Linked DNA regions of Arabidopsis thaliana. The protein of the gene in region 1 interacts with the protein of each later gene in a pairwise test. Each region holds a gene or a part of one and is shown in the gene's direction. Other genes may lie near its edges. The genes, in order: UBA1A and AT1G48450.

Region 1 (11,878 bases):
ATTAACATTATCACATTATATTCTCTATCCATTTTTTTGTGTCATGAACAATAAAATTAAGAAGCATTTAATTTTATATTTATTTTCTAAGGAATTCGAATTTCTTTAATTGGATAAGAAAACAAAATTTTGTTAACTTTGTTGGGTTTGTAATAGTATATCATTTATTTTTCAATTTCAACTTCTAGATATTCTACCCTTTGCACAAAAAAAGATATTCTACCCTTCGAAATCGATGATACTCATTGAAAGTTTGGAACCAAATGTTTTTGATCACTACGGTTAAAAGTTTTAACTTTGAAGTTAACACTTTTAACTTAAAATATGATAACCACAAAAAGCATACGGACTCTAGATAGCTTACGGACTGTTTAAACTGCTTAAAAACGCCGTCTAAGCTTCTTACATGCTGCCATTTCAACTAATCCCACCGTCTTAAACTGTAATCGCCATTGTAAAAACTTGCTTCGAGTTAAAATAATCCGAAAGTAAAATAGTTATTTCGGATATTTACCTATATTAGAAACAAACATTCAACACAAGCTCAGTTCGTGAATTGGAGAGGTCTCTGACTCAATGGGAGAGATCACGGACTCTTTAATAAGTTGGAGTCTTTTCTTTACAAATACAAAAGATCTATTAGATTTCATCGTTCTGTGAGTTCTCTCTCTCACCACTTGTCAAATGCATTTCCCTGCGTGCAGTTAAAAATCTCCCATAGTTTTAATCAAAAGCCATATAGTTTCACAGAAGGCCAAGCGTCTTCAGCTGCTGGACATGCTCAGTTGGTAAAGCCGGGGGAGACCATTCTGACCCCGTCATTTCGCCATCTACATCCTCGACCACATACTCCTACAAACACCAAATAAAGAAGGTATAAAGAAACATTGAATGATAAACAATTAGAAACCGTAGAAGGTAAATAAAAATCTTACCTTTGTTAGCATTCTTTTGGCGAGAATGTGGTAATGGCGCTGCCAAATGCGCTGTCCAACCATGGTTGCAACCAATACGCTATAGAATATACCGATAACTGTAAATAGACCGAGAATTACTAATGCCGTTATGAAGAGTAATGGCAATCCGGCTTCCCCTGCACCTCCAAGGCAACCTCCACACTCACTAACTGCACTTGCACAGCCTTCAGTACATGCGGTGCAATCTGCCCACATACAAATAGTTCCTGGTAGATGGCAGTCTGTGCATATCCTGCATATTGATGATATATATGTTTATTAAATGGGAGCTGACAAAATATTTTCAATAGTGTATGTACTTTTGTTGTGTTGTAGTTTGGCAGATAATAAACTCGATCATAGTAGTTTGGCAGATAATATAGATAGAGTTTAGCAGACAAAAGAAGAGGATCTAGTTAGTATTCTAATTTTTCACTAACTATTGTGTAACAGAATTCCTCTGGCTTGTCTCACCATTTCTAGTCTCTGATGTCGCTTATTCAAACATAAATCACCCAGGAACCAGGTAAAGCAAAAGCCCACATATTCAGCAAACTATTTTTTACGAAAGTCTATCATGTGACCAAATGAGGAACACTTATAATCAGGAAAACGCCAATGACTGAAAACAAAAACAAAGGAAGAAGTATGGAAATTGTACCCAGGCTGGCAACAACAGAGACACAATTCACGGCAAGGCTGTGCTAAGTCATTGCGAACCCTTCGATCATAGCAGGTTATGACGCATCCAGATAGACCCAGCAGAGCAAAGAATAATAAAGCTCCTGCACACAACAAAATCCTCATGTAAATAAACACCAGTAGCTCATACACACATGTAAAATTTTAGAATCACTTGGTATAAATTTCTTTAGTAACAAATTTTCATGAAGAGCTGTGTAAAACACAAAATTTTAATTACTAAATTCTAATACACTTGCTTTGAAAATTCTTATTTAGTTAAAAATTCTACGAGGTCCAGAACTCTAACTGTATATTCGTAACGTAGCCAACCCCTTAACTTTTGATCTAAATCTAACTGATCACAAAACCCTTGCTTCACTTCCTACTACGTAGAGGCAATGAAATCATCTAATAGCAAACTCCTTACATTGGAATCTAAGATTCTGATTGAAGCAAAGCTTTAACAAGGACTGTAGGACATATGTACAATAATAAACTTAGCATTCCCGTCTTACCAACTACACTTGGCAGAGGTCTTACTAAAAAATATTATCTTATCTAGAGGGGAATTTATTTAGATATTAAAGTTTGGGATCATACCACACATGTAATAAAACGTGACCTCACTGTCAAAACCCCATATATGACGAAGCCATGATTGCTGGTAACTATCTATGAAATAGACCATGTAGGCCAATGCAGCAATCACCTGTGAGCAGATGAAGTCATTTAAAAGGCATGAGTTAGATATATTACCAAATGAAAGAAAAACTACTGTAAGAAACAGAAGCACACATGAAAAATGAATACTTACAAGCTGAACAGCAAGAAATATGGATAAAATGTCTCGAGTAACAAAGAAGCGAAACTTCAATGTCCGCCATTTCCTATCTCCAGCACTGTGAACTCTCAGATAATATGGAGCCTTGCAAGTTGTGCAGTGCGCAAACGCGAAACCTTCCTGCAATAAAACGAGCTTACCAGGCGTCAACATCTGCTATTCATTATTTTACCATGATACTACCAAAAACACCACCACTCTAATCATCACTCATGAAACATATATCAACTCTGAAAATTTCACATCCAAAACCATCATTCTTTAGTTGTTTAGCCTTCGAATGGTTTTCGTATTCAACAAAAATAGAAATTTACAACAAAAGGGAAGTTCCTATTCAATAACACTTACACAGGTTGTCATATTTGATTGAAAATGGAAGGGATAACAACAAATAGTCAAAGAGTGAAAGCGAGCATTCATAGCTTTCAAGTTTCAAGTAACACTAACGACAGCCAAGCATGGACCCAAGTTGAGCTAAAGCGTATGAAAAAATGGAACCTTTATAGCTCTCCAATGATCCAAGCAATCACGATGTACATACTTTGATGTTCCTTTGCATTTGCATGGGGCAATGAAATCCCTACCTGACCATGATCAATAAATGAGCTTGAATCAACCAAGTAAGTTAGAACAAAAGCTCTCTCACTATATCACGGTTTTAAATCACTAGTCTTTTATAAAAAAAGAGTTTATCACTAACACTAATCTAAATCACATCAGAACCATTAACGATCTAGCCAATTCGAATTTCATAATCCGAATTCTTGAACTGAAGTTAGACATATCTATGAGCACATGAAAATGTTCAACAATCACTAGCAAGAAGCAAAGAATCTATTTAAGGAAGAAGCGAATCTAAATGGTTTTAGAAGACATTACCATCAGTTTCAAGGCAGATTCGGCACTGAATTTGTTCACCAGGTCCTCCAGCTTCGAGATCGATCTCGGAAGGCTCGACCATCGGCGACGGTGGAACCAACGGCGACAATTCCAGTTCGTCCGCCATTCAATTTCGAAATCTGGGTAAAACCCACGAATACCCAGAAAGAGAGAATAGAAAAGATCGAGACTTCGTCGAGCTATGATCCGATTTCGTTAGTTTAGCATTTATCGGTAGGTTTTTGTTGCCGTTAAACAAGTATGTGAATTGACCCGTCACTCACCGGTTCTTCGCCGGCACACAAAAACCAGAAATGTTGTATCTTTTTCCTTTTCTGTATTTTGACGTTTTTGCCCCTCTACTAATTCATGTTAAAAAAAAAAATTATGTGTTGCAAAAAAAAAAGCATGTCTGAGCCCGGGTTCGAACCGGGGACCTCTAGTGTGTGAGACTAGCGTGATAACCGACTACACCACCCAGACGTTTTTGTTAGACTCTTTACTTTATTATAAATATACTTAAATAATCTAGTGTTCTCTGGTGCACCCTATTTTAGAGGAGTTACTCTATTCAGAGTGTTTTTTTTGGTAGCCACTGCCGTCAACAATGGCGAAAGAAGGAGAAGAACGTAAGAAGGAGAAGAAAGAGAAGAAGGAGAGGAAGGAGAGGAAGCGTCGCGAAGCTGAAGAACTCGCTGTAAGAGAGAAGAAAATCTCAAAAAAACATAAATCGAAATCCAAAGAGGAAGAGAAACCAGAGAAATCAAAGAAGAAATCGAAGAAATACGAAGAAGTAGAAGAAGAGGAGAAATCTCCATCTCCATCTCCATCTCCTAAGAAATCGAAGGAGAGTAAGAAGAAACATAAGAGATCATCAGATGAATCCGAAGAGATCGTCGATTCAAAGCCTGTTACGGTCCCGATTGTTACCATTGAGTCTGATTCTGATTTCGAATTCGATAAGGAAGATATTAAGAATCTACTTGAATCTTACTCTAAAGAGGAGCTTATTAACCTAATTTACAAAACTGCTGAGAAAGGTTCTAAATTGATCTCAGCAGTGTTTGAATCAGCGGATAGAGATAGTTCTCAACGGAACATATTCGTGCGTGGTCTTGGATGGGATACAACGCATGAGAATCTCAAGGCGGCTTTTGAGGTTTATGGGGAGATAACGGAATGTTCTGTGGTTATGGATAAAGATACAGGAAGAGCTAAAGGTTTTGGCTTTGTGTTGTTTAAGACGCGTAAAGGAGCGAGAGCGGCGTTGAAGAATCCGGAGAAGAGAATGTATAATCGAACTGTTAGTTGTTTACCAGCTAGGCCGTTTAATTCTGGAAAGCCACGAGAACAACAACAACCGGTTGAGTCTGTGAAGATTGATTTGAGTCATACGGGTAATCAGAGTGAAATGGCTTTGCCTGGGATTGATTTGGGTCATGGACTTGATAAGGGACATCAGCAGCAGCAGAATATGTCAATGTATGCTGGACAGAACATGCCCTTTTATGGACATTCTCAGCCTCCTCCTGGTTTTAATCCTATGTATGGTGCAATGATGGGTAATCCGATGGTTGCTGGTTTACAGAATTATCGTATGTTTGGCTCGGGTATGATGAATCAAGGACCTATGATGCCACCGAATCATATGGGAATGGTGGGACAATATGTTGGTGATGGTAATGTTAACGGTGTTGGTGCGGGTGCTGGTGCTGGTGCTGGTTTTGATGGTGAACGTGCTTGGTATCTGAGATAAGAGAACCCAAGTGGTATGACCATGTTCTCTGATATTTCAAGTTATAGATTAGGCTAATGATTAGTCCGGTATCTTCGACTCCAACTTGATATTTTGGGAATTGCAGGAGTTTTTTTTGCGGATCTTTATTTTCTATGCCTGATGTTTCAAACCTACTTTTTTAGTTTCATTATTTATAGTCTCTTTTAACGAGGTATCTACCCCTATATGAGCCATTTTGAGGGAGATGTGTGCTCAAAGGATGAATTTTCTGTTGCTCTCTGGAAGTCTGTCATTGGTGTTCTGCTCTGTTCTCATAAACCAGTGAAATGTGGTCATTTTGTCTAGAAGATTTAGTTACTAGGATCAATATTGGTTTAAAGTAGTTTGCTATCTCTTTGTTTTCCCTTTTGGAGTCCCCCATTATGGTCTTCTGTCTTCTCCTTACCCATCAAACTCACGTCTGGTTTTCTTCTGTGGCATGGCGTATGTTTTTCTCTTTTGTTTTTCCTTGTTTTTGGTTTTATGTTTTCCCGCATTTTCATTGAATATCTGTTCGCTATAGCTGGAGAAGAAGCTTATGACATTTATAGTTTTGTCCACTATATGTCATAACTGCCAAAAGTCTGTATCTTCCAGCTGCAGTTGTCTTGAGACCCGTTTGTAGGATCAGACATAATGGTTTTACATTCTTGTTTTAAATCTGTCTTTTTGAGTACTGGAAAAAGTTTTGGGACTCTTTCAAAAGCTTCAAGTTGATTTTCTCTGGAATAAACAACCTGAGTTTTCTTTCCTTCAAGCATTGTTTTCTTCCCCATAGGTTTTTATAAGCTTCTCAATCTCTTTCATCACATTCCTCTTTTATGGTAGTGTCGCCCCTTTCTCTTTTGTATTTAAGAGTCCATTTTGATATCAGTTGCCAAGTTTTCTTGCCTAAGTTCAAGATTGTTTTTGGTCATCGGTACTTGGACCCAATTTGTTTTTCACCTTACATAGCTTTGTTCTGGATTTACCTTTTTTTTACCTGCTCGTTATTCATATTCTATATAACTCTGGTTATGGTAGCAAAGCATACTTGTTTTTTTTTTTTTTTTCTTTGGATTTTCACAATGACCTCACAGTGACCGATGATGCGAATGCTTGTTTTCTTAAGAGGATCAATCTTGTTTTCAGTTTTTCGATTTCTTAAGAGGATCAATCTTGTTTCTCGGTTTTTGGTCTTCTCTGCAGCTATCCATCCATCCATATGAATCAACTCGTATTAATCTATAGTATGCTTCAGCTAAATCAACTTTGGTTTGGTTTTGGTCATTTGATTTCGTTGTTTTGTGATCATGATCTTATGAGGGCTTTGTTTTTCTTTCCAATGGGGAAACTCTGAAAATCTTAAGAACAAAAACAAAACCCTCTCTAAGATCTCGGTGACTATTTTTTTAGTTTCTCATAACACATAAAGATAAAAAAGAAAGAAAAAAAAGTTTCAACTGGTGAATGAATAAACAAGTAGCAGAGCGACACCACCAATATGGCTAAAACCTCTGCCTAGCCAGGAATCTTTTCTGACGGCGCTCTAAAAGAAAAGTACCACAAAGTTCACACCCCGTAAAGTTAGGGAGCTTATGGTATTCCGGTTGATGTATAGCCATCATAACTTAAAGCCAGCATCTTGCCATGTAACCTCTACAAAGATCTAAGGCCTTATCTTAAATATAAAGCAAATATTTAAAAATATGTAAAATAATAAAAATATTCAAAATAAACCAATCCAAAAATAATCTAAATATTTGAAAATATATTCAAAGCAAAATACTCGAATAAAAAAAAAATTAAACTGAAAAAATCGGAAAAACGACATCTCGAGGATAAAGTAAATCGAACTCTTGACCCGAGGGGAAACAGGAAACTGAAATCAAAAATCAAAAATCAAAATCCCTAAAAGCTTCTTGACTCGTTTATCCTCTACTACAATGGCGAAAACCCTAGACAAATCTAAGAAGCGCAAACTCGTGAAATCCAAATCCACGAATTTCGATAAGAAACAGAAGATTAACAAACAACAACAACAACCAGAATCCTCAACGCCATATTCAAGTTCAAGCTCCAGCTCTGATTCTAGCGATTCCGAATCAGACAACGAATTCGACCCAGAAGAGCTCCGTGAGCTTCTACAACCTTATTCCAAGGACCAGCTTGTCGATCTAGTTTGTTCCGCTTCTCGAATCGGATCTTCGATCTATTCCGCCGTCGTAGAAGCCGCAGATCGTGATGTTACACACAGGAAAATCTTCGTTTATGGTCTTCCATGGGAGACGACTCGCGAGACTCTTGTTGGAGTCTTTGAAGGTTATGGTGAGATTGAAGAGTGTACCGTTGTTATAGATAAGGCTACTGGTAAGGCTAAAGGGTTTGGATTTGTTATGTTCAAGACTAGGAAAGGAGCTAAAGAAGCTCTTAAAGAACCGAAGAAGAGGATTCTTAATAGAACTGCCACTTGCCAGCTTGCTTCTATGGGTCCTGCGGCTTCAGGAAAGGGGCATGATCAACCTGGTCCGGTGAAGATTAGTATGGGTTCGATGGCTAATCATGGACAGCCTCAGCAACAGCAGGTACAAGGTCAACATGTGTTTAACGGTGGTGGAATGGCTGCTTCGCCGTTTATGTTAGGGAACCAATACCATCCGCTTTATGGAGCTGGGATGTTGGGAAATCCAGCTTTAGCAGCAGCAGCAGCAGCTGGGGGAGGTTACATGTATCCGATGTTAGCGGGTGCTCTAGCACATGGCGGGTTGGGTTCTGATATGGTACAGTCTAGTCAAATGGGTGGGATTGGTGTTGATCCAAGCGTTGGTGCTGCTGGTCTTTCAGCTCTAGGTTCTTACTTTAGAGGTCAGAGTCTGCCTAGTACTTATCCTGATTCGGATGCTGGTGGAAAAAGAGGGACGGGTAAAGATTCGGATGCTGGTGGCTCCTCCTTTCATGGCTACTCAAACTATTCATGGTACGTTCACTGAAACCTTTGGTGTTTTGTAGCAATGTTTGTGCTAATATTGTGGTTTGAATGTCTTTGGATAAGCATAAATTCATTGTAGCTCCGTCATGTGTAGATAAATGGATTAAGGCTTTTGTGGTAGTACCGGAATTTTATCTGACATTATTATGCCTCTCTAGTCAAATAGTTGGCTTAAATGCCTAAATATGTATATTCCTAGGAGGAACTGCTACAGGAATTAAATACCTAAATTATGTTCTAGAGGTAGGTTAGCATTGTCATCGGTTGCCGTAATTCATTATTCATGAATCTTGCTTCGACTCTATTTCAAGTAGATGCAATGTGACCCACCATACTTTTGTTTTTTTTGTTTTCTCCATTATTTTTCCTTTTGTTGGTTTATGTTTTGTTTTCTTTTCTTTACTGTCCCTGGTTTTACAGTTTTCTCAAGTGCCATTTGTTTTATCGAAGTTAGTTTCTCTATAGGTTGGTGATGGTGGGGACGAATATTGTTACATTCTTTTTGTCTCTTGGCTTTTTTTGTTTTAGTGTTGCACTGGGTTTTATAAACTGAACGTCCACCATCTCTCCACTCATCTGGTTTTGGTGCTAACGTCTTTAAACGGACTGTAAACTATAGCATCTGTTCATGCTGTTGCACTCATGGTTTTAGACTTAAGTTTGAGTTTTAACATTTTTTTTATGTTTGTCCCTTTGATTTCTATTGTTTTCACTTTTCGGGGTTATCTTACCAGAAAGATAGAGCATTGCTCTTGTTTCCATATGTTTTTCTTTTTGTCTTCAGCTTTTGATAGAGTTATGTTTTGTTTTGTTTTCTTGAACTCCAACTTTTGCAGATGGTGTGGGCTGAGCATGAGAATGATAAACATGCAGTTTCTGGGGATTTCTTTTTAACATTTCTATCAAAGTCAGTACGTTTTAGTTTTTTTTTGTATTGTTTTTTCTTCCTTTCTTTTTTTTTCTGTTTGATGTCACTCTTGTCCGATATCATACGATAGACAGTCTGTGGCTCAAGTAATATCATTGTGATTATTCGTTAAAGACCTCTGTGCAATCTGTATTGTGACCTCTGGGGAAAAAGGTTTGCTCTATGAGGACTCAATAGGATTTAACTTTCTTTTAACTATTTATGACAGCTAAAGTTGACCCTTGAAGTTGTTATATAAATTTGATCGCATTTGATGACCTCATAGAGATATGCATATATCATTAATGATGGGCTAAAGAAAAGAAAGCTGGTGCCATTGGATCTGAAAATGTTACACTAAACAAAGTCTTGGTTTATGGAACAACAAAGACACAGTTGAAGCTAAAGCTGATGATGCCTTAAGATTCTCTCCTCTTCAGGTAAAAACCGATAACAAGTTTTGATTTTTGAATCTAAAATGTTAGGAGATCAAAGCGGTTTGTTCACTTCTTCCTCTTCTTTGGTGGCTGAAGCGCTTCCTCATCATCTTCATCTTCTTCCTCTTCCTCCTCCTCTACCTCCGCATCCTCATCGTCGTCTTCTTCACCACCATCATCATTCTCGTCTTCATCCTCCTCCTCATCTTCATCATCGTTCTCATGGTTATCATCATCCTCGTCATCGTTACCATCATCCCCTTCAGGTTCATCATCATTATCTCCAGCTTCACCGTTCAAATCAGGATCACTTACCGGTCCTTTCTTGGTCTCCTTTCCTTCTGCATCATCTGCACTGCCTTCTTCGTCTTCTCCTCCATCATCACCACTATCATCATTGTTTCCATTGCCTTCCACTGCATCAACCACCTCATATCCATTCTCTATAACATCACCCTTCAAGACAGTAACCTGCAGCTTCATATTCATTTTATCACTACCAGAAACAATCTTTTACCAAGTTAACATGATTTTACAAATTGGGCCGACATACTAAATTAGGACATGGGCTTCTTCTAGACATTAAATTTGAAAAACTTGGAAGCATAATATATGGAATATACCTTTTTGATTTTTTTTGGACCTACAATTTATAATTTAGATTTTAAAAATCTATCTTAATATTCCCCATTAAAAGCAACCGTCCTCAACTAATAGCTATTATTATATACATACCCTCACAATATTTAACCAAAACTTTTTAATTTTATATATTTTTCCAACCACCCATTCTGATGAAGTAACGCTTCAAGTCGGTCAAGATTTAGTTTTGTAGCCAAAAAAATTTGTGTGAAACTTTTGTGTAGAAAAAAATCTATTTTTATAAAGTTGTTGTTTTGTGCGACCGCGAATACTTGTAAACGTTTGTTAAGAAGGAAAAAAAAAAAAGTTGAAAATAGAAAAAGCTTGCCTGAGAGAAGAGCTCTAGCAAAGAAGAGAGCATAGTAGCCGTTAAAGCCAAAGCGGCGCAGTTTAGCACTAAAGCGTTACCGAGAACCAGAGACAACCTCATACTCATACCTTGTTCTTTCAACTCCATTCTTTCTTCACTCTGTATTTAACAGTTATGAAAACCGTTAGATCTGCAATAATAATAACTAAAGCAAAATTTTCAGACAACTTTCTTGTCCATTTATCAAATATGGAGCAATCTTCGTTTTGAAGTTATTGACGAGAAAAAAAAAAGACAAAACAGAGCAATCATAGAAAGAATCATGAAAAACAGAGGAAACAACCAAGTTTAGAGGTTGTCCTCTACTTCAATATTTGACAACATACAAAACAATAATCTAAGAAACAAAATAAACAGATACAAGAAGAAGAAGAACGTACCAAAGAAAAGCTCTGTAATTAGCGGAAAAAGGAAGAAAGAAAGAGAAAAGGACTAGAAGAAATGAGCTCTGTTCATTAATGGAAAAAGTGTGAGATTTGTGATCAAAGAAGAGTTGTTCAGAATCTCAGATATAGGAGAAGAGAGAGATGAGAGATGAAAGAGAAGAGTGTGAAGCTGCCCGTAGTTGTTACTACGAATCCTTAGGGCAGTACGGGCAGTGACTCTATGTGATCATCTCTAATTGACCTGCCACGTAAGCTACACAAGTGTGGGCTCTCTCTGTTAAGTCATACATTTTATGCCGACCAAGATCTTTCTTCATCTATGTATTAATGTATGTATGTAGTCAATGGTTAGTAAAAACTAAAAAGAAAAGCTTTTGGTAACAAACAGAACCATATTCTCTTCTTCTTCTCCTTCTTCTTCTATACTTCTTTCTGATTGTTCCAATTCCATTTCCTCTTTATGCTTTTCCCAAAAATATCTCAATCGTTCATTATATCCTTCTCCTTTAGCACTAAAGACTCACATGCCATGTCATCTTATTCTAATGCTCAATAACTATGATGATGATGGAACTTACATACCAATTAAACAATGAAAGAGGAAAACTTTTGTTGGTTTCCCTCCAACGAAGCCATACCTGAATCTGTTCTGTACAATGGCTTGAGTTAGACCTTATGAGAATTCTTTGGATCTTCCTTATTTTCACCAATAATCTCGGCAAGAACAAAACCCATCTTTGAAATGGTGAAATCTTGTTGTATCTCTCACTATGATTTCCCTTCCCACAAGCTTGGAAATGAACTTTATAGCCGTGTGGCAATCATTGCACACTCTGAGATTCTTCATGATCCTCAATGTGGTTTTATCCGGAGTGCTAATTAGTCCAAATGCGATTGCTAGTTTCTCGCTGTGGTGCCTTAGAATCTGTTCTTTAACCTCTTCTTCGAGGTCGTGTAGTACAGAAGCTGTGTCGGGAACATAACCCATTTTCTTGATCTCGTCCCAAATCTTCTTCATGGTCATGTAGATC
Region 2 (12,538 bases), on another chromosome or scaffold:
ACAAAGATAAAATTGTAATGGTTTCTTACCTCAAGAATGTAACGAGCAACCCATAATTGATCACCTGCACCAATACCAACAGTAGGACTGATTTGAAACTCCCATTGTCCAGGCATGACTTCACCATTGGCACCACCAATACTCAAACCGGAGTATAGACAAGCTTTATAGTGAGCATCGACAATGTCACGACCAAAAGCTTTGTCTGCACCTACTGCACAATAGTACGGTCCCTGTTTCATCAAAACACACAAAAAGCAATATTTCCGAGATAAGAAACTTGTTCTTGGTAATAAGAGTTAGTGTATGAATTTTATCATAAGTGTACCTGAGGACCAGGAAAGCCACCAAGAGGCCAACCTAGTGGCCACTTCACATCTTTTTTAAGTAATGTGTATTCTTGCTCTATCCCAAACCTATTATATAACACATCAAAGTATCAAAATGAGTCCTAGACTGAATCAACTAAACTGAAATATATTCCAAAACAGTGCTTATGTTAAACAACTTTTAATATATGTTACAATATATTTTGAATTGGTCAAACTATGGTATTTTTGTTCTACACCATAACAAACTGAAAAAATTCGATTATAGTTCATTTGAATTTTTCTATAGGCTATGTATTTAGCTTACCAAGGCTCTTCAGCCTTCACATTGGGATGATCGAAGATTTTTACGGCCTTGTGCCTATTGTTGGTCGGAATTGGATCTCCGGCCGGTCTGTAAGCATCACACATCACCTGATATATTCAAGAACATTGATTTTAAAGACCCACTAATCAATAAAACAGATGAATCTTTTGCTCAAAATTTTATGTGGGCTAACCAGAATGTTGTTCCCCTTCCTGAATGGGTCCTTAAATATTGCCTGAGGACTTTTTTTTTCCAATTCATTCCAAAAAAATGAAATTATTTTAAAGATACTTTTGATATCACTTTACTTATAAATGTTATGAATAGGGGATGAAAAAGATTACTAAAGAATGACTTCACTATCATCTCCGGCAGCTTGATCGGTGCTAGATCCATCGTAGTTCCATTTTGGAAGCTTTGTTGGATTACTTACTGGTCCTGGTAATGTCTATTAACAAACAGAATTTAAATTTTTGTTTGGTTATTATAGAAACTAGAGAGACATAATGTGATGGTATTATTACCCTGGCTTTGCTTCTAATATCCATTCCAGAGCCACCGATCCTGTTCTCATGAAAAAACAGAACAAAACAATGTTGTTTAAAGAGACATGCAAGATCACAAGTGTGTAACATCAAGAATCTATATGACATGCATCGAGTTATAGAGAGACTTTTCTATAGATTTAAGTGACAAAAAGATGATTAGGGATCGAACCATATGTATTCAGCGATGATTTTCTTGGTGTCTGATAGATCAAGGTTTAGGAGATCTGAGAGAGGAGACGTCATTTTTGTTCCGAAAGAGAAAGAAGATGATTCTGAGATTGGTTCTATTGATCTCAGTCACTCTCACTATTTTTATAGAAGCGGCTATTTCTCTTGAGATCCTATTTTATTGTTTTCTCAACAATAATCGTTGATTAGTATAATGGCATCTTTTATTAAGTATCCATTAATAACCATCACATATTGATAAAAAGCTTTGGGACCAATTTATTTGAGAATCAATCACTCAACGGTGTAACAGATTCATCAATGAAACAATACAGACACGTCACACTGTTAAAGACACCTATCGGAGGCACAAATCTTCCACGTGGATAAGCATTCAGCTTCTCTATTGTTGCATACAAAGGACCAAAACACAAGCTGAGACCAGACCCATCTATTGTTGTGTTACTTATGTTGTGATTTCACACATTGAAACTTTAGAGAAGGGGTCACAAGAGTCTCCAATAAGAAATCTCATCAAATACTGAAGTTAAGTAGGATCGTTCTATAACATTTCCAGCCAATTCTCATTTCACATGATCAACCAATTCTTAAAGTGACTTAATACAATTCATTACTACTGAAATGAACACAGAAACAAAACAAAACCGATGGGATTTGGCTACATCTAACAATCACTAAACACTGAGATCTAGTAGTTTTCACCTACAGGTCTAGAAGGAAAGAGGCGCATAAGAAAAGTGATAAACGACCAGAGACACATAACAGCTAGAAACTGCAAAGTCACAACCAAACCAACTAGTGCAACTCCTCGCTCTGTTATTTCAGCAGTCGTTGCCGCATCTTTCATCATAAACATCAGCCTCTGAACAAAAGTCGCTGCTCTTGTCACCTGATACAGCCTATACACCTGCCATGACATACACAACCATAGTTACTCAAAACAAGACTACAACATCATGGACCACAAGAAGATGGGCAGACAAACTTAAGACCAAAATGGTCAAAATCAGAATATAAGTTTACCTCAAAGACTATTGGAACAATGGGCCAACAGGATGAGCCACGTCTTTCAAGCCGAGCCTCGAAAACTCTTTGAACTGCACAGCCAACCAAGAAAGGAAGCACTGCAATCAAAGCATCTATTCCAAGAGCTGGCCAAGTCATGTAAACAGCAAATACGGGAACTACAACTTTTAAACCCATCGTGAGGAATGCAGACGTAAGGTATCCCCTCAGTCCAGTGATCAGACCCCATCTCTTGGAGCTGAAGTCTAAGTACGGCCTCTGCACTCGGTCAGTCACAGACAGGAATATCGCAAGACCAGCATAAAACACCGTCTCAAAGCAAAAAGAAGTAACAATTTCTGCATCAAGAAATTATAATAAGAGAGAGCATCAAAATGAGTATCATACAACAAGAGATAGATCATTTGCTAAGTCTCTTAGCTTTAGGAGAGTTATGAGATCTCGTTTAGGTACTTTCTAAGGCTCAGGTCATGTGTTCTTGATAATAGTGAAAAAAAGGATTCTAATATTGCACATCAGAAAACATGTACTAAGCCTATCAAAACCTCAAAGCCAAAGCCTACTACACTAAAACATAATGAGTTAGCAGATGTAACACCACTAAGATAGATAGCTTCTACTCCATTTGTTCCTTCCTAGGATTCATATAAGTCATAATCCGATGTTAAACATTAAAGCAGTAGTAAAACCTGACCTACCAGCAACAGTGTCGTTTTTGAAGGTAGCTTCAATGATACCACTTAGAAAGAACTGAGGAAGAATCAACGAAGAAATCAAAACAACAGGAGCCAAAACCCACAAGAAAGAACCTTTCTCTTCTTGAAACGGAGCTGAAACCAGTTTACTTTCTTCAACCAGCTGATGAGTCAGACCATTGAAAGAAACAGAACCTGATTTCCCACGGAACAGCTCAGCTCGAGCATAGTTACTCTTATCCGATTGCTTCTTCTCAGGTCTTGAGTCAGATTGAGAAGAAGAACACGCTACACGAACTCGGCTCAATTGCGGTTTGTTCCAAAGGAGGGTTTCTTAAACAAGAATGAAAATGAGAAAAAGGATCAGTCTTTATGCTACAATCTGGGTGAAGTAGGAGGATTTAAGATAGAGATACTTACGTCTGGAATCAAGTTTGTGACGCGTCGCAAATGTGGAAGAAGCCTATAGAATCAGGAGATATTGACAAATTTTAGGATAAGGTTTTGGAAGAATCGAAATGGAAAAAAATGAAATTTTGATGGTTAAATTTCACTTACAGGAGGAGAAGGAGGAAGAGAGAGTAAACGTGGAGATGAAAATCGAAGTCTTGGAGGAAGAAACCCTAAGCAAATTGCTTTCGATTCCATTTTTGTTAGGGTTTTTTGTGTTCTCTCAGCAGCTTAAACCCAGGCTTTGAAATAAATCTCTTCACTGTCTTTATTCTAAAAGAAAATTCTTTTCTGACATTTTATTTTTTGGAATTGTTTTCTTTGAAATGGGTTAAAAATTAAACTGTCCTTCTGATTGCATTTATTTTCTATGGTTTTACAATGGGCCTTTTATGTATTTTAGCTTGGCCCAGTTGAATTTTTTTTTTTGCACAAACCCAATTTTTTTTTATGTATTTCCTTCTGTTCGGTTATTTCGGTTTTTTTTGCACATACCCAGTTAAAAACCGAATTACCCGAAAACCGAACCTACCCGAACCGAACCTAATATCGGATCAATTCAGCATACTTTTCCAAAAAATTTAACAAAAAAAACGAAAACCGATATAACCGAACCGAACCGAAACGTTAAACCGAACTTTGATTGAGAAAGAAGTTGAGGCAAAATAATAGTGAAGATCGGATAAAAATGGGTGAAGTTGTAGAAAGAGGAGGCTCAGCTGTAACCTTTGGATACTTTAGCATCATTCTACTACCCACCACACTTTCACGGTGGTAGTAGCCGTAAGTCCGGCCTTTTTTTCATCATCGCCACCGTTTTTCTTATTTTATTAGCAAAAACGAAAAACCTTTTAAAAAAATTGTAGATTCACAGAAGACAAAATAACTTTTTTTAAACGAAATCACTGAGAAACGAAAAATCAGATAGAAACGACGACGACATTCTTACACACCGATTGGGGTAAAACTTTTTAGACGCGAAAGGCGAGAGAAACCCTAATTGTCTTGATGGGTCGTATTCTGGGCTATATATGTTTCCCATAATGGTCTAAAATCCCGCTTAATGGGCTTTGAGAAATATAAATATGAGCCCAACTTCTATTGTGTCAAACATGAAAAATTACGAAATTAATTTCCCGTAATTATCAAAAGAAAAAACGTGAGTGGGTATTATTGGAAGAGATAAGAGTCATAAACCATCCACACTAACCGGTTTAATCACTATTTATCGACATCATCTTCTCCTACATTCTAGGTTTCTTCTTCATTTCTCCTTTCTCTGGCCAAAGTTCCGACTTTTTGCTTCTCCCAGAGGCTAATCATGGACGCTGTGGCGGCGAATTTGTTTCAATCTCCTTCCTTACTGCGTCAAACTTCCGAAAGGTTGATATTTTCGACGCCCAACTGTCCTGGCTTCATGCGAATTAGCTCCGGACCTCAATTTCGTCTCAGAGTAGGTCTTATTTCTACTGAGTTTGATTTACTAAACCCTAGACAACATTGACATTTATAGCTTTCCCGAATCATCTTTGTTTGTGCTTAATCTACCCCATAATCGTATATCTTCCAATGAAATTCGAGAATTCAGATTCTGTGTAAAAAAATGGAACTTTTAAGGTTTCTTCGTGTAAATTTCTCATAAGTAAAAAAATTGGCTTGACTATATTGTAATTTGAATCTGTTGTCTCTCTGTATGCAGCAAAACTCTTCTCTTAAATTCTCGAGACCATTTCAAAGCGGAACAACTTGTGTTAAATCTCGGAGAAGCTTTGTGGTTAAAGCTTCAGCTTCTGGTGATGCTTCAACAGAATCAATCGCGCCGCTTCAGTTGAAGTCTCCTGTGGGACAGTTTCTGTCACAGATATTAGTGAGCCATCCTCATCTTGTTCCAGCAGCTGTTGAACAGCAGCTTGAACAGCTCCAAATTGATCGAGACGCTGAAGAACAGAGTAAAGATGCATCCTCTGTCCTTGGAACAGACATTGTTCTCTACAGGTTTGTCATATGCTGATATTAATTACCACTCGGCTATTATATAGGTTTGGATATTGAATTAGATTGTTTCTTGGGTCTTTAGGAGAATTGCTGAAGTTAAGGAGAAAGAGAGAAGAAGGGCCTTGGAAGAGATTTTGTATGCGTTAGTGGTTCAGAAGTTCATGGATGCTAATGTTACACTTGTACCATCCATAACCTCTTCATCTGCGGATCCATCTGGTCGAGTTGATACTTGGCCAACTCTAGATGGGGAACTTGAGAGACTTCACTCGCCTGAAGTTTATGAGATGATTCAGAATCATCTTTCCATCATTCTTAAAAACCGCACTGATGATCTGACAGCAGTTGCGCAGATAAGCAAACTTGGAGTTGGACAGGTATATGCTGCTTCGGTGATGTATGGGTATTTCCTGAAGAGGATCGATCAAAGGTTTCAGCTTGAGAAGACGATGAGGATTCTCCCAGGTGGGTCAGATGAAGGTGAGACTAGCATTGAGCAAGCAGGCCGAGATGTAGAGAGAAACTTCTATGAAGAAGCAGAAGAGACTTATCAGGCTGTTTCCTCAAACCAAGACGTTGGTTCGTTTGTAGGAGGGATCAATGCCAGTGGCGGTTTTAGCAGTGATATGAAGCAATCCCGGTTAAAGACATACGTTATGTCCTTTGATGGAGAAACCCTTCAAAGGTACGCTACAATAAGATCTAGAGAATCGGTTGGGATAATTGAGAAGCATACAGAAGCATTGTTTGGGAGGCCAGAGATTGTGATAACGCCACAAGGCACTATTGATTCCTCGAAGGACGAGCATATCAAGATCAGCTTCAAGGGATTGAAGAGGCTTGTGTTGGAGGCTGTGACGTTTGGTTCTTTCCTCTGGGACGTGGAGAGCCATGTAGACTCAAGGTATCACTTCGTACTGAACTGAAATGGCCTCTGTGGTTTATGAGGATGTGCCACATTCTTTGAGAGGGTTTGGGGATTTGTTGTTTGTAATATATGCGACTGTGAACTGACCAACTAATATCAATACCCATTTTATGGTAATACTACATTCGCGATCAGTTTGTGTTATTCTTCTCGTTTACATCTTGAAGTGCATCGTTGTTGTTTAACAAAATTAGTGTCTGTAAATGATAATTCTGGACATGAAAAATTAAGGTTGTTCTTGAAATATGATCAAAGAAATGGACACTGATGATATACACATATAGTGTGCAAAGGCTGTTCACGATACTCTTAGTTTCATTCAGGTCCAATAATATTAGAACGTAAAAATGCAATAAAAAAAAGCTTTACTTATATAATGGTTTTGAGGAACCAACTCCCTATACTCGTGAAGATTATTACTCTTCCTTGAATCTCTTCTCCGTTGCCTCCAAGCGCTCCAGGTCTTTGTTGTATTTGCAGATGCGGTAGATGCACCTGTCAATGAATAAAAGAGATATCAATAAAACTACGCGAGACCCTGTCTGTGAGTGACTGATAATAGCTGATGATGTTACAACTTACCAGTAGAGTAGAATTCCTGCAGCGCATAGAACCACGTTCCTCTGAGCCTTGTAGATCTGTGGTACAATGCAAACGCACAACTCGTTAGCAAGCAAGCTGAGACATTTCAGGGAAAGAGAAGGAACTAAGGGGTGAATTAAATATCCAAGTGTTTGATTTTCAGTTTTTCACTATGTATAATTGATCCTGGCGACTCGCAACTGCATACCCAAAAAGGTTTGAATACAGTGCATGACCAGAAAACTGAGGGATGAACTAAACATCCAAGAGTGGTGATGAAGCTTCACCAAGAATCAATTGCCAACAATTCACAAGAGCAAAGTATAAACTGAACTATGAATGACAATCGTGCCGATGGTATAAAGAAAGTCACATGTTGCTATTTGACAGTAGCTAGAACTACGATTAAAAGATATATGAGTACATCAATGAAGGGTAAGACCTAAAAAAATGCATTGACACTAACAAGTTAGACAGTGTTTTGTAGCTCTAATCTATGCAACTTCCTCAGACAAAGAAAGCCAATTCTCAGAAGTTTTACTAACAAATATTGATCTTTAGACTAAAGATGGGAGAAAATGACAAGGATGAAACTCACAAATCTAACAATTTACTATTCAAAAAAAGATTCATACACATAGAATTCAGCTATAGAAGAATCAAAGACAAAGGTGATCAAGGAATGGTACTTACAGATTTCTCGTAGCGATCACGTTCTGTAGCAGTGCAAACCTCAGATGAACAAGATAGTCTATGCTCAGCCTTCCAGTAAATATCTGAATGAAATCAAAACCAAATAAGCAAAAGCACACAAAGGTACCAAATCCACAGAATCACTCGCGGCTCAAAACCCTAACTATACATATTCCGACTACGAAATAGATAGATAGAGCGAGAGAGAGGAGAGGAGGTTACCGAGGAGCTGAAATCCGGCGAAGGCGACGATGGAAGCAGCAGGTTGGAGAATCAATGAGACAAGCTGAACTACACGTTTCTTAAGAAGCATAGGGTAAGGGAGAGTCAACACGAGGGTGATTACTACTTCGACGGCCACCACATACGATAGAATCAGCCATTGCAACGCCATTGTTGTTCGTCTTTTTCTGGATCTCTCTCTCTCTCTATCTCTATTCCGTGTGAAGTAGACGAAGAATAATAATAGACGAACCGTGTGCGTGGAACACGTGCCTATGCTTAACCATTTTTTCTTTATCTTACTAATTAAGTTATTTTCTTACTTAATGGGCTCTCACCTCCGGCCCAATATCTCCATATACCGGTTTTATTGTGCTGATTATCGGTTTATTTCGATTTAACGGTTAGCTTTCAAGAACAAATACAGAAACTAGTCACTCTCTTCTTCTTCTCTGCCATTGTTGACTCTTGAAGTCTCAATTTTTTCTCTTCTTTATTTCTCCGTATGAACTTCTCCGATTTTATGGTTTTTATATCCTTGAAAGCTAGCTAGCACCATGGTTCCTCCGGCTAAAAAATTCATCAACAACCCCAACGGTTCGTGATCCCTCGTCTCCGTTTGTGTTTCGAATCGCTAGCTCTCTGTTCTAGATAGTTTATCTCATATATGGTAGTTGCATGCTCTTGAAATATCAATTGATAGAGAGAATGAACATAAGCTGTTTATTGCAGATGTTGTAACCGAGTTCATCGAAGGTCTCGTCGAAACTTATCCTGGACTTCAGTATTTGGATGGTCTTCCCGAGGTTAAAAAAATTCACTTTTTTCGATTCCTTCCATGGATGTGTGCAAAATCTCAGCTTATTTATGATGAATTCACAGATCAAAGTTGTACTAAGAGCTGATGTCTCAGCTGCAAATTATGACAAGGTTGCCGTTATATCAGGTTGGAGTTTACTTGTCCAATTCTTTTTTATTACAAATTGAGTTTCGTTTTCGTGTTATGCAATGCCATTTTTGAAACAGGAGGAGGAAGTGGGCATGAACCAGCACAAGCTGGGTATGTTGGAGAAGGAATGCTCACAGCTGCTATTTGTGGAGATGTTTTTGCTTCGCCAACTGTTGATTCCATCCTAGCTGTAAGTAACTCTTCCCACATAACGTTTCTTCTTCTTATTCCTTCTCTTGTGTCTTTCGAGAAAATGATGAATCTTTGTCCAATTCCAGAGGATTCGTGCTGTAACTGGTCCAAAAGGATGCCTCTTGGTTGTCACGGTAAATAAAACATGGCTAGACTTATTCTTATGTATATATCAATAGCTTTGAAAGACTATCCTTCAGTGTCTTTGGTTAAATTAGTTTCTCTTTTACATATTGTTAATAGAACTATACTGGTGACCGCTTGAACTTTGGCCTGGCAGCTGAGCAAGCAAAAACTGAGGGTTTCGATATAGAGGTAACTGTATATTTATTGTTTAGAATTTGGTAAGAACACTGGTGGATTGGATGACATGATCCCTTTTGTAGACTGTAATTGTTGGAGATGATTGTGCTCTACCCCCGCCGCGTGGCGTAGCTGGGCGCAGAGGTTTAGCGGGAACAGTTCTTGTCCATAAGGTTCTCAGTTTTCTTCTATGTTGTTTTTCCTCTATCTGCACTATAAGATAGCATTTCTTAGTAGTGTTTGCAGTCACTTATCCTCATCTTTTTTTATTATTGCATTTTCTTATATTTGTCTGTGATGTCTAAGTGGCAGGTTCTTTTGTGCTCTTTTGTATTTTTATATCCTTTGTTATTGTTTTTGTTAAGGGTAGGTTGCTGGAGCAGCAGCTGCTGCTGGACTTTCTCTAGCAGAAGTTGCAGCAGAAGCAAAACATGCATCTGAAATGGTTGGAACCATGGGTGTTGCACTATCTGTCTGTGCGCTTCCAGGACAGGTTACATCAGATCGTTTGGGTCCAGAGAAAATGGAACTTGGGCTTGGAGTTGTATGTTGTTTCTCTTCTTATTTTCTTTTATGACATAGGAAAGTCAGAGCATTACTCTTGCTAATATTTTGACCTTTTTTTGCTCGCTGTTTTTCGACTTTTCTCTCAGCATGGGGAGCCTGGTGCTGCTGTAGTCGACATTCAACCTGTGGAAGTTGTAGTGTCCCATGTTCTTCAACAGATACTGAGTCCAGTATGTACACTATTCCTCTCTTCTCTGCTTCTTCTTTCCATAACCATCTTGATCTTCCCGTTGTTGACTTACTATCTCCAAAGTGATAGTGTTAATAAAATACATGTATCGTGTTTCATTCGTTGGCCTATGCATTCTTTCTAACTCCAGGAGACAAATTATGTTCCAATTACACGTGGTAACAGTGTGGTTCTGATGATTAATGGGTAAGGACCATAAGGTTGTGTATTCCATCTTCATATTTATGTGATCCTTGTACTCATTTTCACCTTTACCATAATGTTATATCTATGTTACCCACTTATGGTATAACGAGTTTGCTTAATCAATGAATAATTTTATTTGTTCGTGTTGTTCTGTAGCTTAGGTGGTACACCTCTAATGGAACTTATGATTGCTGCTGGAAAAGCAGTCCCAAAATTACAGTTGGAATATGGGCTTGCCGTTGATAGGGTGTATACTGGATCATTTATGACGTCTCTTGATATGGCAGGTGACTGTTTCTGTTGTGTCTATGTAGAGTCACTGATTTTGTGCTGTGCTCTCATACTCCTTCCCTTCTCAGGGTTCTCGATATCGATCATGAAGGCCGACCAGTCAATTTTAGAGCGTTTGGATGCTCCGACCAATGCTCCTAGTTGGCCAGTTGGCACAGATGGTCTGTGATATTTCCTTTGGAACTTGTATAAGATTGTAAATTCTTGTATCATCTATTTTATTTTATTTCGAGGTTGGATTTTTCCTTTTTCTGATCAAGCCAGATCTCTCTACAGGAAGCCGCCCACCAGCAAAGATCCCCGTTCCACTTCCCTTCCGATCAACCAAAAACGAAGAGGTGAGCGGTTGGTTTGATAAAAATATAATTTAGCCAGCTTAGAAGAGTTTCAATGAGATTTGATAATCTGTAAGTTTCATGAGAACTTGTTAGGTGATCATCATACTAACTTTTTTTTGTGTTTATTTAGTCTCGATACCGACCTCAGGAGCTTAGTCAACAGGGGCGAATTCTTGAGGCAGCTATTGAAGCAGCAGCAACTGTAGTCATCAATCTGAAGGATAGTTTGAACGAATGGGATGGAAAAGTAGGTGATGGGGATTGTGGATCAACAGTAAGTCCTGTTTTTCAAATGTTCGTTTTGCATTTCTAAAATATCTTATGCACTCATCACCATTCACAGATGTGCAGAGGTGCAACAGCTATTCTGGAGGACATGAAGAAGTAGTGAGTCACTTCACTCTGAACACCCATTTTACCTCTTCTTCTCCTCTGTTTAGCTTGATTGTTTACTTACAATGTATACCCTCTTTTTCTCGCTTTTATAGTTATCCGCTCAACGATGCTGCGGAAACAGTGAGTGAGATTGGTTCATCGATTAGAAGAGTCATGGGGGGAACAAGTGGAATAATGTAAATCGACGCAGTTAATTTTAACAATTTTCTTTCCATAAAATTGATCATGCATTTGGCATTTACTGATGTAAGACATGACACTGTCTCATATGAAACCAGTTACAATCTCCTCTGTAAGGCAGCATATGCGGAGTTAAAAGCTAACAGTCAATCAGAAACCACTTCCAAACACTGTAAGATATACGTTGCTTGCATTGTCGTTAATTATTCCAAAAGGCACATCTTGGCCTATGAATCTGATTTCTTCTTGTAATCAGGGTCTGAAGCACTCAAGTCATCAATCTCTGCTGTCAGTAAATATGGTGGAGCAACTGCCGGTTATAGAACGATGTTAGATGCGCTCATCCCCGCTTCAAAAGTCCTTGAGGAGGTGACTGATCAATAGGTTACTTTTTGTTATTAAAGATTGATATTTGTTAAGTAGTAATGTGCCTTGCTTTGCTTCTGAGCAGAAGCTGAGTGTTGGGGAGGACCCTATTGCTGCTTTTGTTCTGTCTGCTGAAGCTGCGACCGCAGGAGCTGAATCTACCATTCATATGAAAGCACAGGTGAGCTTTAATGACTACTAGTTAATAGCAATCACTGACATCACAATTATCTGTTGGTTGTTTGTTTTTTGTTTCTTTTTGATGTGACGGATTATGATTGGAGGGTAGGCCGGGAGATCAAGCTATGTATCAGCTGAGATTTTTGCATCAATTCCTGATCCAGGAGCAATGGCTGCAGCGGCATGGTACAGCGCCGCTGCAAGAGCCGTGAAAGAGCAGAGGCAGAGGTTTTGAATCTGATGGACTAGGCTCTGTAAGAGGTTATAACGAGCTTTACTGATTTGATAACTGCCTCTGGGCTTTGTTGTCTATATGTATCTAGTTCTAATGTTTCTGAGTTCTGACTCTGTTTATATACAAATGACAATGGGATTCTTGTGAAATGCTTCCCCTGTTTATATGCAACTGAGTGTTTTCCTGCACATTTGTTAAAAC

Evidence for each region.
Region 2: the proteins of UBA1A (region 1) and AT1G48450 interact in a two-hybrid assay, tested with the Arabidopsis thaliana proteins (one large-scale study listed by BioGRID).

Annotation. Positions count from the first base shown.
Region 1 is NC_003071.7:9,385,635-9,397,512, reverse strand, and holds UBA1A (RNA-binding (RRM/RBD/RNP motifs) family protein), read left to right. Parts: upstream 1-7,006; 5' UTR 7,007-7,062; coding exon 7,063-8,106; 3' UTR 8,107-8,463; downstream 8,464-11,878. Other genes in the region: AT2G22120 (RING/FYVE/PHD zinc finger superfamily protein), read right to left, coding at 534-654, 749-852, 936-1,209, 1,618-1,741, 2,241-2,349, 2,455-2,601, 2,980-3,065, 3,361-3,487; AT2G22100 (RNA-binding (RRM/RBD/RNP motifs) family protein), read left to right, coding at 3,968-5,116; AT2G22088 (uncharacterized protein), read right to left, coding at 8,464-8,711, 8,973-9,129; AT2G22080 (uncharacterized protein), read right to left, coding at 9,516-9,920, 10,420-10,548; AT2G22070 (pentatricopeptide (PPR) repeat-containing protein), read right to left, coding at 11,551-11,878. UniProt on the Arabidopsis thaliana protein: Acts as a component of a complex regulating the turnover of mRNAs in the nucleus. Binds with high affinity to RNA molecules that contain U-rich sequences in 3'-UTRs. May function in complex with UBP1 and contribute to the stabilization of mRNAs in the nucleus.
Region 2 is NC_003070.9:17,902,673-17,915,210, reverse strand, and holds AT1G48450 (alanine-tRNA ligase, putative (DUF760)), read left to right. Parts: upstream 1-4,737; 5' UTR 4,738-4,865; coding exon 4,866-4,997; intron 4,998-5,243; coding exon 5,244-5,539; intron 5,540-5,621; coding exon 5,622-6,465; 3' UTR 6,466-6,509; coding exon of another isoform or gene 6,510-6,553; 3' UTR 6,554-6,708; downstream 6,709-12,538. Other genes in the region: GLN1;5 (glutamine synthetase 1;5), read right to left, coding at 30-233, 329-416, 637-743, 830-878, 981-1,084, 1,161-1,200, 1,354-1,427; AT1G48460 (tRNA-processing ribonuclease BN), read right to left, coding at 2,062-2,280, 2,397-2,737, 3,098-3,427, 3,515-3,557, 3,653-3,742; AT1G48440 (B-cell receptor-associated 31-like protein), read right to left, coding at 6,884-6,962, 7,050-7,105, 7,743-7,825, 7,965-8,136; AT1G48430 (Dihydroxyacetone kinase), read left to right, coding at 8,522-8,561, 8,697-8,770, 8,847-8,910, 8,991-9,103, 9,192-9,239, 9,349-9,420, 9,492-9,581, 9,779-9,952 and 12 more.